2 linked regions of the Saccharomyces cerevisiae S288C genome follow. The protein of the gene in region 2 purifies or fractionates together with the protein of the main gene of each other region. This does not show direct contact. Each region holds a gene or a part of one and is shown on either strand. Other genes may lie near its edges.

Evidence for each region.
Region 1: the proteins of PSG1 (region 2) and EMP70 purify together in Saccharomyces cerevisiae (affinity purification with mass spectrometry, with the first as the bait; 2 studies listed by BioGRID). This does not show direct contact.

What each region holds. Positions count from the first base shown.
Region 1 is NC_001144.5:290,963-299,683, reverse strand, and holds EMP70 (Emp70p), read left to right. Parts: upstream 1-3,589; coding exon 3,590-5,593; downstream 5,594-8,721. Other genes in the region: RAX2 (Rax2p), read left to right, coding at 1-3,095; SRL2 (Srl2p), read left to right, coding at 6,112-7,290; galactose permease GAL2, read right to left, coding at 7,748-8,721. UniProt on the Saccharomyces cerevisiae protein: With TMN2 and TMN3, plays a critical role in the late stages of a nutrient-controlled pathway notably regulating FLO11 gene expression. Acts downstream of RAS2 and TOR. Essential for cell adhesion and filamentous growth.
Region 2 is NC_001143.9:287,234-293,131, reverse strand, and holds PSG1 (Psg1p), read right to left. Parts: upstream 1,680-5,898; coding exon 501-1,679; downstream 1-500. Other genes in the region: AAN1 (Aan1p), read left to right, coding at 1-176; DHR2 (RNA helicase), read right to left, coding at 2,080-4,287; SMY1 (Smy1p), read right to left, coding at 4,559-5,898. UniProt on the Saccharomyces cerevisiae protein: With EXP1, the specific cargo receptor protein for the plasma membrane ATPase PMA1, is involved in the transport and/or maturation of PMA1.

The DNA of each region.
Region 1 (8,721 bases), on a different chromosome or scaffold from region 2:
AACTTTTACCTTTTGGAGGGTTTGGTGAAAACTCCAGTGTGAATTCCATAGTCAAGCTAAATAATGACAACATTTTATTTGCAGGCCAGTTTTATACACTGGATGATCCTTCTGCGCTTATCAGTAGTTCAAATAACGGTACGAACTCAACTTCCTCTTTAAACGCTACTACATTGGAGCTAGGCCAACGAATTCCACTGAGGTACGCTTCCTGGGATTCCCAGGGAAGTACAACGTTTGCATCTGATTCGTTAGTTTGTCCTAACACTAATGAGGATGCATGGCTTTATCCGGATACGTCTGGGTCTCTAGTTTGTAATTTACCATATGAAGTTTCACCAACAAAAATAAGGCTTTATAATTCCCAACGTTCCGATAGTGAAATCTCCGTGTTCCAAATTCTGACTGATCCATCCAGTAGCATAATGAATTTAACGTATCTGGACCCACTAAGTGGGGAGTTGAAGAATTGCGGTGAATTTTGCCCTTTGTATAGCCGAGCCACTTTATTATCAGCAAGCCAAAATGTATCTTCATCCATGGACATGATTACCTTCATCGATAACAACAAGACAGACGTAAAATGGACGTCAGATTTCCAAGACTTTGCGTTTGTGAATGAACTTCCCGTTTCATCGTTAAAATTTGTAGCATTAAATTCATACGGTGGTAGTGTTGGATTATCCGGTTTGGAGCTCTATCAGGACACATTCTCCACTTATGCTAATGATTCTCTCAACGAATATGGCTGCAGCGCGCTTACCAATGATTCGTCGTCATCTACATTGTCGAGCAATGATTGGTATAATGGTCTAACAGGTGAAAGTTATATAGCCGCGAAATATGTTCCAGATCAAAATGAGCCAATTCCACGCGTAAAGTTTTACCCAAACATTATCCACCCCGGTCACTACACTATCAACATGTATACACCAGGGTGTCTTCAGGATAATACGTGCTCCGCAAGAGGTATTGTAAACGTGACCATGTGGAATCAACAAAATAACACAATAATGAAGACGTACTTGATTTACCAGAATAATGATAATCTAAAATATGATCAAATCTACTCGGGATATCTAGATTTCTCACCGGAGATCGTTTTGGAGTATGTCTCAGGAATTTATACAACCAACACTGCAACAGTGGTCGTGGCAGATCAAGTTAATGTCATTACTGTTTCTTTAGATGCTTTTAACACACTTTCAGATTCTAGCAACGCTAAAAAAGAAACTTTATTGAATGGTATTCTCCAATACCAGAAATCAAACTTTACCAGCACGAGATTGAACGAAACAAAGGTAGGTAATACTACTTTGAATCTTTTCCCAGTAAAAAATTACCCTAAAAATTCTTCCCTTTATGCTGACATTTACGATAACAAATTAGTAATTGGTGGAGTAAGCAACCGTATTTCCATTGTCGACCTTAATGACGACTTTGAGGTTACATCAAGTAAAAACCAAACCATTCAAGGTGATGTACATGGTATAACGAAAACTAACCAAGGTTTACTAATATTTGGAGATATTCTTTCATCAAATAATCAATCAGCTGTTTTTTTGTTTAATGGATCATTTGAGAATGTCTTCAACCAATCGAGGACAGTGAATAGTGCCCTTAATATAAGTCTTGCAAATAACGACTTTATTGTTCTTGATAACGATTATGTGGTCAATGCATCTTCCAATGCGCTTATACGGAACTCCAGTTCCTTTAGTCTATCACTTTGGGCGGCTGGTAACAATGGCGATGGCGATGTTTTGTTTTCAGGTGCAGTATCTCATATGCAATATGGTAATTTGAATGGGTCTGTACGTTTTTTGAACGAAAATGAAATAGAGCCACTTAACCTAGAAGGGGGTATTGTACCTTACCTGGGAGCTTATTTAAATGAGTCTGCCACGGCATATGCATATGAGGTGGATTCTCTAAACAAAATTTATTTTTCTAATGAAGTTTATCCTTCCTGGAATTGGTCTAGCGGTATTACTCAAATGCTATACGCTGATAATCAAACTTTACTAGCTGTCAGTGCAGGATCTTCAACCACAGCAGAACTGTCGATTTTTGATTTGAGAAATTTGACCATGATTGCTAATGAAACACTAGGATCAAATGCTAGAATAAATGCTTTAGTTAACTTTGAAAAAAACTGTAGTATGCTTGTCGGCGGAGATTTCCAAATGACTGAGCCGAATTGCACCGGATTATGTCTATACAATTATGAAAGCAAAACTTGGTCTACCTTCCTCAATAACACGATTTTTGGTGAAATCACACAACTTTCCTTCACCAACTCATCAGAATTAATTATCTCAGGCCTTTTTGAAACAAAAGAATACCAATCTATACGTTTAGGATCCTTTAACTTAACCAATTCTACTATGATTCCATTATTGAGTGGTTCTGAAGGGAAACTGAATTCGTTTACTGTCACTGAAGACTCCATAGTGGCATGGAATGATACTTCATTATTTATCTATAGAAACCAAGAATGGAATATTACCTCGTTACCTGGCAATGCTAGCTCTATTAGCTCTGTTTCAGCTATATACACAGATATTGAATCCAACACTTTGAACAAGAGAGGAATCAACAATGTTAATAATGGCAGTATCCTCTTACTTAATGGTAATTTTAATATTTCGCAATACGGATACCTACAAAGTTTGTTGTTTGATTTCCAAAAATGGACCCCATATTTTATTTCAGAAACAACAAATACTTCCAATTACAATCCAATAATTTTTATTAATAGAGACGTTTCAACTGAATTCAACTCTCAGTCACCACTTGCCAATGTGAACATTACTGTGACAAGTCCTCAGTCAACATCATCCCAGCCTCCATCTTCATCGGCAAGCAGTGAATCTAAATCAAAATCGAAGAAGAAGAAAATAGGTCGTGGTTTTGTCGTTTTAATTGGTCTTGCACTAGCATTAGGGACAGTTTCTGTCCTTGGTATTGCAGGCGTCATTCTTGCCTACGTGTTTAAGGATCCAGAGGGTGATTATAAGCCCATTAAACCGCGAATTGATGAGAATGAAATGCTTGATACCGTCCCACCCGAAAAACTTATGAAGTTTGTCTAATCGGGGTTGTATTATATAATATATAACTACTTAAAATAATGAACACTTAATATAATAAACAAAAATAAAATAGGAAAATCCTAAGTTGATCAAAACTTAATAAAAATTACTACTTGCACTGGAATGTTAGTAGTAAATTCAACACGTATTGGAAGTCACTTGGAATGTTACCAATACTGCCTGAGAATGAGTGATTTTAACTTATAATACAAAAGTCCGGGTTACAGCCCTTTAAATTTTTTTCACGGCAATTTTTCTTTACTTGGTGAAGCCATGAAAAATGTCATCGGTTCGAAGAAATAGGCCTAATGATAAACAAAAAGGTAATTCAAGGTTTTTGAACTGCTTTGTTGTTTTTATTTGTATCTTTTTTTGGTACGTTAGTTAAGTTAATTTTTGGCTCCTTGTCCAGCTTTTCCTTCATCTGCTACCGTTATATTTTCAGATATTAATTTAGTAGCAGAGAGCAAGTACCGAAAGGAAAACAAAACAGAATGATTTACAAAATGGCACACGTACAGCTTTTGTTGTTGTATTTTTTTGTGTCAACAGTCAAAGCCTTCTATTTACCAGGTGTAGCGCCTACCACTTACAGGGAAAATGACAACATCCCATTGCTCGTTAATCATTTAACTCCATCAATGAATTATCAACACAAAGATGAGGACGGTAATAACGTTTCTGGCGATAAAGAAAATTTCTTGTACTCATACGACTACTATTACAATAGATTCCATTTTTGTCAGCCTGAAAAAGTCGAAAAGCAACCTGAATCCTTGGGATCCGTTATATTTGGTGATCGAATTTATAATTCACCATTCCAATTGAATATGTTACAAGAAAAAGAGTGTGAATCCCTGTGTAAGACCGTAATTCCGGGAGATGATGCTAAATTCATCAATAAATTGATAAAAAATGGCTTCTTCCAAAACTGGCTTATTGATGGATTACCGGCTGCAAGAGAGGTTTATGATGGCAGAACTAAGACTAGTTTTTATGGTGCTGGCTTCAACCTTGGTTTTGTACAGGTAACTCAAGGAACCGACATTGAGGCTACTCCAAAAGGGGCAGAAACCACCGATAAGGATGTGGAATTGGAAACACGTAATGATCGTAACATGGTGAAAACTTACGAATTGCCTTACTTTGCCAACCATTTCGATATTATGATTGAATATCACGATCGTGGTGAAGGTAACTATCGTGTAGTTGGTGTTATCGTCGAACCGGTTTCCATAAAACGTTCCAGTCCAGGTACATGTGAAACGACTGGCAGCCCATTGATGCTAGACGAAGGAAATGATAATGAAGTTTATTTTACTTATTCCGTTAAATTCAATGAATCAGCGACTTCTTGGGCCACCAGGTGGGACAAATATTTACACGTATATGATCCTTCTATTCAATGGTTTTCTTTGATAAATTTCTCCTTAGTTGTTGTCTTATTGTCATCTGTTGTTATCCATTCGCTATTGCGCGCACTGAAAAGTGATTTCGCACGTTACAACGAGTTAAATTTGGACGATGATTTTCAAGAAGATTCGGGTTGGAAATTGAATCATGGTGATGTTTTTCGTTCGCCAAGTCAATCGCTAACCCTTTCAATTTTGGTTGGTTCAGGAGTTCAATTATTTTTGATGGTAACTTGCAGTATCTTCTTCGCTGCATTGGGTTTCCTATCACCTAGTTCTAGAGGTTCCTTAGCCACTGTTATGTTTATCTTATATGCATTATTCGGGTTTGTCGGCTCTTATACATCTATGGGCATCTACAAATTTTTCAATGGGCCATACTGGAAGGCAAACTTGATATTGACTCCACTTCTAGTTCCTGGTGCTATTCTGCTAATAATTATTGCGTTGAACTTTTTCTTAATGTTTGTTCATTCTTCTGGTGTCATACCAGCAAGTACTCTGTTTTTTATGGTTTTTCTATGGTTTTTGTTCTCAATCCCATTATCATTTGCTGGTTCATTGATTGCCAGGAAAAGATGTCACTGGGATGAACATCCAACCAAGACAAACCAAATCGCAAGACAAATACCCTTCCAGCCTTGGTATTTAAAGACTATACCAGCTACTTTGATTGCTGGTATCTTTCCATTTGGCTCCATCGCCGTTGAGTTGTATTTCATATACACAAGTTTATGGTTTAATAAGATTTTTTACATGTTTGGTTTCCTCTTTTTCTCTTTCCTCCTATTAACTTTGACAAGTTCACTCGTCACTATTTTGATCACTTATCATTCCTTATGCCTGGAGAACTGGAAGTGGCAATGGAGAGGATTCATAATTGGAGGCGCCGGTTGTGCTTTGTATGTGTTTATTCATTCTATTTTATTCACCAAATTTAAGTTGGGTGGATTCACGACTATTGTCTTATACGTGGGATACTCCTCAGTCATTTCATTACTCTGCTGTTTGGTAACGGGGTCAATTGGCTTTATCAGCAGTATGCTCTTTGTTAGAAAAATCTACTCATCCATTAAAGTTGACTAGGCCAACGAAAAAGAGGTCCTATATGTTGGGTTAGGGCGTTTTTTATTTATTTCTCTACTGTTTATCTTTTTTAACAAAGAAAATGCTAGGCCCTATGGCCTTTGGACATGATACATAGTTTTTAGTAATATTTTTTTCAAAAAGATTAAAAGTACTATAGGATTCGAAGTTGTAATTTTTGGTGTATATACATTTATTTATTTGAATCTTTTTTCCATGATTCTGGAATGACATTCTGCGTTACAGTTTGGGAATAAATGCTCCTTTAAGGAAATAATATACAGCTTTAGTGTACAGGGTTAATCTATAGCCACATTAAAAGGACTTGATTATGACTTAAAATAAGTGACACTGACGCTTTAATATTCAGTCCGGGTGATGCTGTCATCTAGGACAAAACAATGGGAGTGGATAAGTAAGCAAGTAATAAGATAAAACAGTATTAGAAATTGGTAGTAGGCTGAAGCTTGTTGAAGCTGGTGGACAGAAAAACGCTTATATTGTGAAGATCCTTTTGGATGTCCAACTTTAAGAATTTTACTTTAAATTCCTTTGAAGATTATTACGGAAAGCCCTCTGAAACGCCAAAAATGGAGGAAGAGAAATTGGAAGTAACAAATGTGAATGCGTCCTCTTCAAAAAAAGTACATAAAAGCAAAAAGAGCACTTCAAAATATGACCAAAAGAATGTATTTAGAAACTCAATGACAGGAATTGCACAAATACTGCCAACAAAACCTGTGAAAATTATAGAGCAGAATATTGATTTTGCCAATCCGAAGAGCTTCGACCTCCTGCAATCTACACATACTATTTGCTTTAATAAAAGAATTAACACTACTAATACCAAGTTGAATGTGGAAACTCATACTTCTAGTGATATTGACAACGACATATTGCACGTTGGAGCCCCCACAGACTTGGGGGGAAACAGTAATGACGAAGCGGAAACAAGGCAACTAAGGAAGTTTCGATGGTCCAATAATAAAGAAAAAAGTCTTTGTGAAAAGTTAACAGTCATATATTGGGCCCTCTTGCTCCACACAACAAAGAGAGCAAGTAAAAGGAGACCTATATTATGTCATCAAATGATAGCTGAGTTTTTTAACAGAGTTTATAAGGAGAAATCAAGAGTACCTATAACTTCAAGATATATTAGAGATAACCTCGTCGCTTGGGTCACTCAAGGAAAGGAATTGCATGAAAAAGGTTGGGTAGGGGATGCCAAAACTGGCGATTTGCAAGAACAGTTCAATATAGCCACTGTCAAATTATATGAAAGCGCAGAAGACGGGCGTCTTTCCATTGGTAAAGACAAACCCTTTCGAGAGGAAAACACCGGCAGTGATAGTTTGGTTCGAGCGGAAGAGGACTCTACCGCTGTCACTAATGAAAATGGACATATTTCTTCAGAAAAAAACTTGAAAAAAGATCGTAGAGAGTCTATAAGGAACCAAATCCTGACTTTAGACCTAAATGACGAAGATTTTTTCCAAAATGTAATGAAAGTTTTATCAGCCATTGATGAACCAGAACTGAGACAATATGTAATCGTAATCTCAGAATTAGTTAGCATGGAAATGGATGATGGTAAAACGGTACGAGAAAAGCTCCGAGACGTTGAATTGAATATTAATAGGTTGCAGGTTGATATAAAAGAAATAAAGGAAATGCTTGTTACACTGATAAACAAATGACTGAAAAAAGCAACTCCTGGATCGTTCGAACATTCTCACTCCATTAATTGTATGTTAGCTCAGGAATTCAACTGGAAGAAAGTCCAGGCAAGTACCTGACTTATTTTCTAGAGGACCCCCCAGAGATAAGTCTGGTGATGTGGTCCTTTAATAATTTCATAGGGACAATTCATTTTGCGTTTTTAATTTTGCTCGGTGAACAAAGGATGGCAGAGCATGTTATCGTTTTCTTTTTTTTTTCCTGTTTTAGAGAAAAAGGTTATATATGTAATAATACTCTGATATATGTACACAAATAATAGGTTTAGGTAAGGAATTTATATAATCGTAAGGATATCATTGATAAGGGAAATTTTTTTTTTTTTTTTTCAAACAAATACTATGATAATTAAAATGAAGAAAAAACGTCAGTCATGAAAAATTAAGAGAGATGATGGAGCGTCTCACTTCAAACGCATTATTCTAGCATGGCCTTGTACCACGGTTTGTCGTCATGTTGTAAATCCTCTAAATCGTAATTATTACCTCTTCTGGATGAAGGAATCCAGCCTTCAGATTTCCAAGGTAAAACACCTTCTTCCCATAATTCTTGAATTTCTTCTAACGATAGGCCTTTAGTTTCTGGAACAAAGAAAAAGACATAAAAAAACATGGCAACCAAACAGCCCATGAAGACATAACCGTAGTAGAAGTTAATGGCAGATGTGATGAATGGGGTGAAAAATGCAATCAAGAACCCCCATACCCAATTGGAAGCAGAGGCCAACGCCATACATTTCGACTTGACTCTCAGTGGGAATGATTCTGCTGTGATGACCCAGGCAACTGGCGCCCAGGTTGTGGCATAACAGAAAATATAAAAACAGGTAAAGACAATCATACAGTTACCGGCACCTTTAGAAGATGGCTGGCTTTTACCGTGAGGATATAATCTAGTAACACCAACAGAGGCGTAGATGACCATACAAGCCATCATAGTGGCAGCGCCCAAAAGTAAACATTTACGATGTCCCAAGTTTTCGACAGTCCACAAACTAAAGAAAGTGGAGGCAAAGTTGACTACACCAATGACAATGGATGTTTCAAAGGAATCATCCAGGCCAACTGACTTGAAAATAACGGTACCGTAGTAGAAAAAATAATTGTTACCGGTTAATTGTTGGAACATTTGAACAAACACACCCATCAACAAACGTTGAAATACTTTGGTCTTGGTGGAAAATAATTCCCCCCAGGACGCATTGCCAGCCAGTTTTTCAGCTTCTATACCGGCCATGATCAGATCTAACTCTGCCTGGACGGCAGGATCCTCTGGTGACACCTTGTTAGACTTAGCAATGGAACGCTTGGCGTCTTCTACCTTATTCACCTCACATAAATAACGTGGGGATTCAGGAACTAACGTCAAAGCGCCAATCATAAATAATGACC
Region 2 (5,898 bases):
GAGATGATGATGAAGATGAAGATAATGTGGACAATAGCGAGGGCGACGAAGAAAGCTTACTTAGCAGGAATGTGGAAGGAGATGATAATGTGGTTGAGCGTCATTTTAAGCCTGATCCAAGGGTCATTACACTGGAAAAAATATGTGAAGTTGCTGCAAGACAGAAATGGATATAAGGAGAAATCAAAGGAAAAGAAGCAAGATCCAGCGTTTTCTTTTGAACCCTGGAGGATGCTGATGCATTCTCTATTTATTTGGTATCAAATTGTCGTACAGATGATTTATATATGTTAATATTGTTCAGTTTACACTAATTTTAATTTACCGTATTTACTATCCAAAGGAGAAAAAAAGAAGTATATGGACTTCAGTATTTATACAATATCGAGTTAAGATAAGTTAAGTAACAAAAAAAACTGGATAGAGTGGTTTTCTATTAGTGTGACGGAAGATAAAAACAGCCCTCTCGAGGAAGGGTGAATGCATACTTCGAAGGGAATCTAATTTTGTTTACTGGTTTTCTTATAAGATGGCAATTCGGTGTACTTGTGATTTTTCATGTTTTTGAATTTCTTCATCTCCGAGAACTTACCCAAAACACGGCGTTTCTTGTTTAAAGCTTTTCTAGTAACATCTGTGAAATCTCTGTTTTTCCCGTTGACATATAAGAAAAAGTACATGAAGACGAAAAATACCACCACGACAGTAGGGATAGATAATGCAACATAATACCACTGATCATTTGTTATACCTGCATCGTCTAAAGCCAGTTGCTCCTTAGTAGGCTTAAACACTTTTGAACCCTTAGTGATGTATAATAAAATACCGTATTGTAGTGGATCGAAATCTTCATCTGATATGTATATTGGCTGAACTGATACAACGATCCTACGATCAAATTGGTCCTGCAGCCATTCATCTCTGACCTCAACCGGCATTAGACCGTTGTCATTATCAATCCATTCGGAAGAGAAAAAAGTTGCAGGGATATCTCTTTTATAATTGCCCTTCTCTACGGGGTTTTCTTTAACATAGGACAAATGAACACGAACCTTATCAGCAACTTTACCGGAATTCTCATCTGTAAAAAATCTTGTATACCAAGTAACGAAGTAAGTCTTGTCAACCTTCCATCTAGAATTCTCATAAGGGGTACAAAATGGCTCACTGCGGATATCCTTTGCTAGACCTTTATTGAAGTAAAGATTAGGAGTACATCTGACAATAGGATTCAGGGAGACGTAGGTGTCATCTTCATCAATATACTCTTCTTCTACAAAAACTTCATTAGGGCCCATATTGTGAGCCTTCAATTCTTCATAAGAATATGTGTGGGAACTTACCGTTTTGAAGTAAGTTGAGTAATCAGGTCTTCCCTTCTTGGTTCGACCTTTGTTGATTTCTGGTTTAATGGTTTTTGGCCTACCATCATGCTCTAAAGATACCCAAGGTTTCAATGGATTTGGTGTTTCTTCTGGTTTTTCAGAAAAAGTGACACCGGCAATGACCGTAGGAGTGACTAATTCTTTTTGACTTCCATAAACCGTACGTAACCAAGGTTTAACTTCTTCTGAAGTAGTCATTTTCTCCTTTGGACGAACGACTTGTCTTGCACCATGAACATGTTGATAAAGCGATGCCAAAGAAAAGAAGATAAGTATACTATCGTGAAATCTCATTATTCCGCAATTCCTTCAGATCCCGCAGAACTGCTTCCGACTATATTGTCTTAACCTTTTTGCTAAAATATTTTGTTCTTCAAAAGTAAAGAATAGCTTGCTGAGAGAAATGCGTCGAATTGCCTTTCTTATTTTTTTCATGATCTTTTATTCCTTTTCAAAATGTCAACGGCAAAATAATATAATTTCGCCCTTTTCCCGAGATAATTTCACAAAAAAAGCCAACGAACAATTCGAAAGGCGTTTAACATGAATATACATATATACCTGTGTATATTCATAAGATATTGAGAAATGAATCCATGAAACTCATACTGCAGTAGTTGTTACGATTTATAATGCTCTATAAATTACATTAAATGCCTTTATATACAATAAAAATGCGCTAAGAGTAGGTGACTTATTTTGAATCAGAAACTTTTTGCTTTGCTACAGCGGCTGCATTAGTGACAACTTCTTGTAACCATGAAAGTTCAATCCTACTAACATTTCTGGCATATCCCTTCGTAGTAAAGACATACTCCGTGTACATTATACCGGGGCAGCTTTTATTCATAAATAGCATAGATGATGGATGAATGCTTATCGGCTCTCCAGTGGAAACAGTTCTATAAGACCTGTCTGGCATCCCTATAGCTGTATTCTTGATAAACCCAGTTAAGAAACACTTTAAAATTTTCGAAATTAGCTCGCCATCTTCACCAATCTTTTTGGATTCTTCATCCTCTTCACTGATTGAAGAAAACAAACGCTTACAATAAACTCTTAACTGGTCTCTGACACGAATTACATTTTTAAACCCACGTATCGAAATACACAATCCTTTACACCAATCATTTCTTTCAGAGCTTGCATCTTGACTTTTCCCTAGTTCGTAGAAATAGATATCAAAAAGCTCTTTCAGCATGATAAGGTCACCATACCTTTTACCAGCGTTGCATAAGGACAAACGACGCTCGTTCACCTCATCTCTTTCTTCTGGTGACGGATTCAACAGTAAATTTTCCACACTAAGGCAAGAGACGATATCAATGACCTGACTCAAACATCCGACTTCACTGGCTTTAATTAAGACACTACTTAAATGCGGTTGTAGCGGTAACAGAGCCATTTGTTGACCCCGTTTAGTTATCTTTCCACGAGTGTCAAGAGCACCCAATTCATAAAGTTCCTGAAGCCCCATTACTATAGCTTCCTTTCCAGGGTTCTCAAACCAGGTCCAGTTTAGCAGGTCATCAACACCATATCTCTTCAACATTAACACAGGAGATGTGACGTCACTTCTGGCTATTTCAGGTTCACTTTGTTTAGGTAATTTCACATAATCAGACTCACAATAAAGCCTGAAACTCTTTCCTTCACTTTCTCTACCAGCACGACCACTTCTCTGCATCGCACTTGCCTGAGAAATGGGTACGGTAAGTAGAGTGGCTAATCCCAGCTGATGTCTCCAAACTTTGACTTTTCGAAGACCAGAATCAACGACAAATTTAACACCGGATATGGTAACAGATGTTTCTGCAATATTGGTACTAAAGACGACTTTTCTCTTGAAACCCTTTATCGGAGCGAAGACCAAGGACTGTTGGACCGCGGGAAGAGCTGCATATAAAGGATAAGGAACTATTAATGGTACTGGGGCCTCATCTGAAACATACTTTGCAATTTTCTCCATTATAGTCACTGCTTTGTCAATCTCTTCTTGGCCCGGTAAAAAACATAAGATATCTCCCAGTTCTTCACCTTGGTTTATTTGTATACAACACCTGATGACAGCGTCTACTATATCATCTGTTGGCGCCTTCAAGTAGTATTGTTTGACATCAAATTTTCTTCCTTCTACAAATAAGATTGGGGCATTATTGAAGAACTCACTAAATTTTTCGGCTTGCAATGTTGCAGACATAACAATTATTCTCAAATCAGGTCTTGGCCCTTGTATCAAGGATTTTAAGAACCCCAATATCAAATCTGTAAGCACAGTTCTTTCATGCGCTTCATCGATAACGATGACGCTGTATTCTCTAAGGTCACTATTCATCATAAGTTCTCTAAGTAACATACCGTCAGTCAGATACTTAAGTCTTGTTCTTGTAGTAGTCGTATTGTCAAATCTGACAGAATAACCTACTTGTTCACCCAGTTTGCAACCATGTTCTTGAGCAACACGTGTAGCCAAATTGATGGCCGCAACACGACGGGGTTGAGTTACAGCAATCGACCCATGCTTCTTCGTATCATATAATTTTTCTAATACGAATTGCGGAATTTGTGTTGATTTACCAGAACCTGTTTCACCAATAAGGACGGTAACGGGATTGCTTTCAATATATGACATTATTTCTCGCTTGTGTTGGTAAACGGGAAGTGTTTCTCTCATTTTGAGTAAATCGCTTGCCCGACTTTTCAAAGATTTATAAGTAAGGACATTTTCCTTGTTCGAACGTTGGTCTGAAACATGGTCGCCCTCGCCTGAATCATTAAACTTTACGATTTTACTAGCTCTTTTAATCCGAGTGTTATTCGTGAATGGATGTATATTCCTCCTAACCTTTTGTTTTTTAGAAGTATGGTTTGATGCAACTCTACTATTGCTATTTGCTGCCATGATAATGTCTGCAGACTCTTGCAACCTCTTCTTGAGGAATTCTTACATATATATCATAACCTCATCTCATCTCATCGAGCAGAATTTTTTATTTTCAATTTTTCTCATTTTTCCAAATCATTGTAAACGAATAGCCGCCGAAGAAAAACGGTAGAAGAAAAGTACATCTTTCAGTCAGCATTATACGTACAAATTATTAGCGTTATCATCATGATTATAATTACAAAGATACTACACAGTTGTATCGTACAATTATCGAACTTAATTATAGTCAGCTTCCAGAAGAGGGACTTTTTGGAGTACTCGAAGTGACTTTTATCGAATGGAGGTTTAATCCCTTCTTGAACGGTCTTGCCACAAAAGACTCCTGTGATCCAGTGGTTGCTATACTGCTAGAAGAAACCTTTCTCGCGCCCCATACTAAAGGTTTTGAGGAAGTATTGGCTGACCAAGGGCTATTTGATATTTCAGAACCCTCCTCGATATGCAACATAGTATTTCCTGATGACGAGCTCATAGACCCTCTTCTAGGAGATGGGATTGCAGATTTATTAAGAGAAAGCTCTTTGACAGAACTTTCCAAAGATTTTATCCTTTCACTGCGTGTTTCAGTAAGTTTAGTGTGAGTTTCTAGTTCACCCTTTAAGATGGCGTTAGTAGTTAAAAGCTCTTGAATCTCTCTTTCCTGAAGCTGAATTTGTTCTAGTAGCCTAACGTTCATAGACTCTAAGGCTTCCTCTTTTGACTTTTTGTATTCTAACTCTTGCTGCAACTTAGAATTGGAATTCATCTGTCGATCAAAAGATAACTCAAGCTGAGCAATCTGTTCGCATCTTTTCGTTAATATTTCAGAAACTTCTTCGTCAATACGATTGTTAGGATCTTCATTGGTAGAACTACTCAATAATTGGGTAATACTGTCTAATTGAAGCTTTAGTTTGATATTTTCTTTCTTTGTATTTTCTAACATTTTTTTCTCGTCGTCTTCGGGAAGAGATTTATTGTGAAGGCTTTTTAAAGAGTCTATTTCAGCCTTTAGTATATTAATTTGGGCAACATAATTATCATCCTTAATTTTCATGTCCTGAATAAATAGATCCATTTTTTTTTTCAGATTTAAACCTGTGGTGTTATCTGTAACCTTGTTATTGATCTGTCTAATACTGTCACCAAATTCTAGTGTTGATAGGGTAGTTGGAACATTACTTAAGAAACATGTCAATATCACCTTTGTTTTCCTATTTCCCCCAAGGGAATCTTTTAACACTTCAGTTAATTGCGATTCACGGTAAGCAGAACTATGTGATCCTTTTGCGCTGTAGGCTGAATCACGCTCTTTCATTGACAAGGACCGCACAGTGTTTTTCAACGCCTCAATAGATTGGTTTAATTTTTTTAACGCATCTTGTGATAGCGTACTTTCAGTTCTTTTATCGAACTTCTCTGCCCCGTGTAAATCAACCAGATATAAAGAACTATTTTTTAATATATCATCTTTTCTATTCCTTTGTTCTACGTGTAATTGAAAAACTAGGTGTGATCTTGATCTCTCTGTCTTGTCGCCACATGCCATCCTATTGCCGACGTTTTGGACTGCCTGAATGTAGCTTC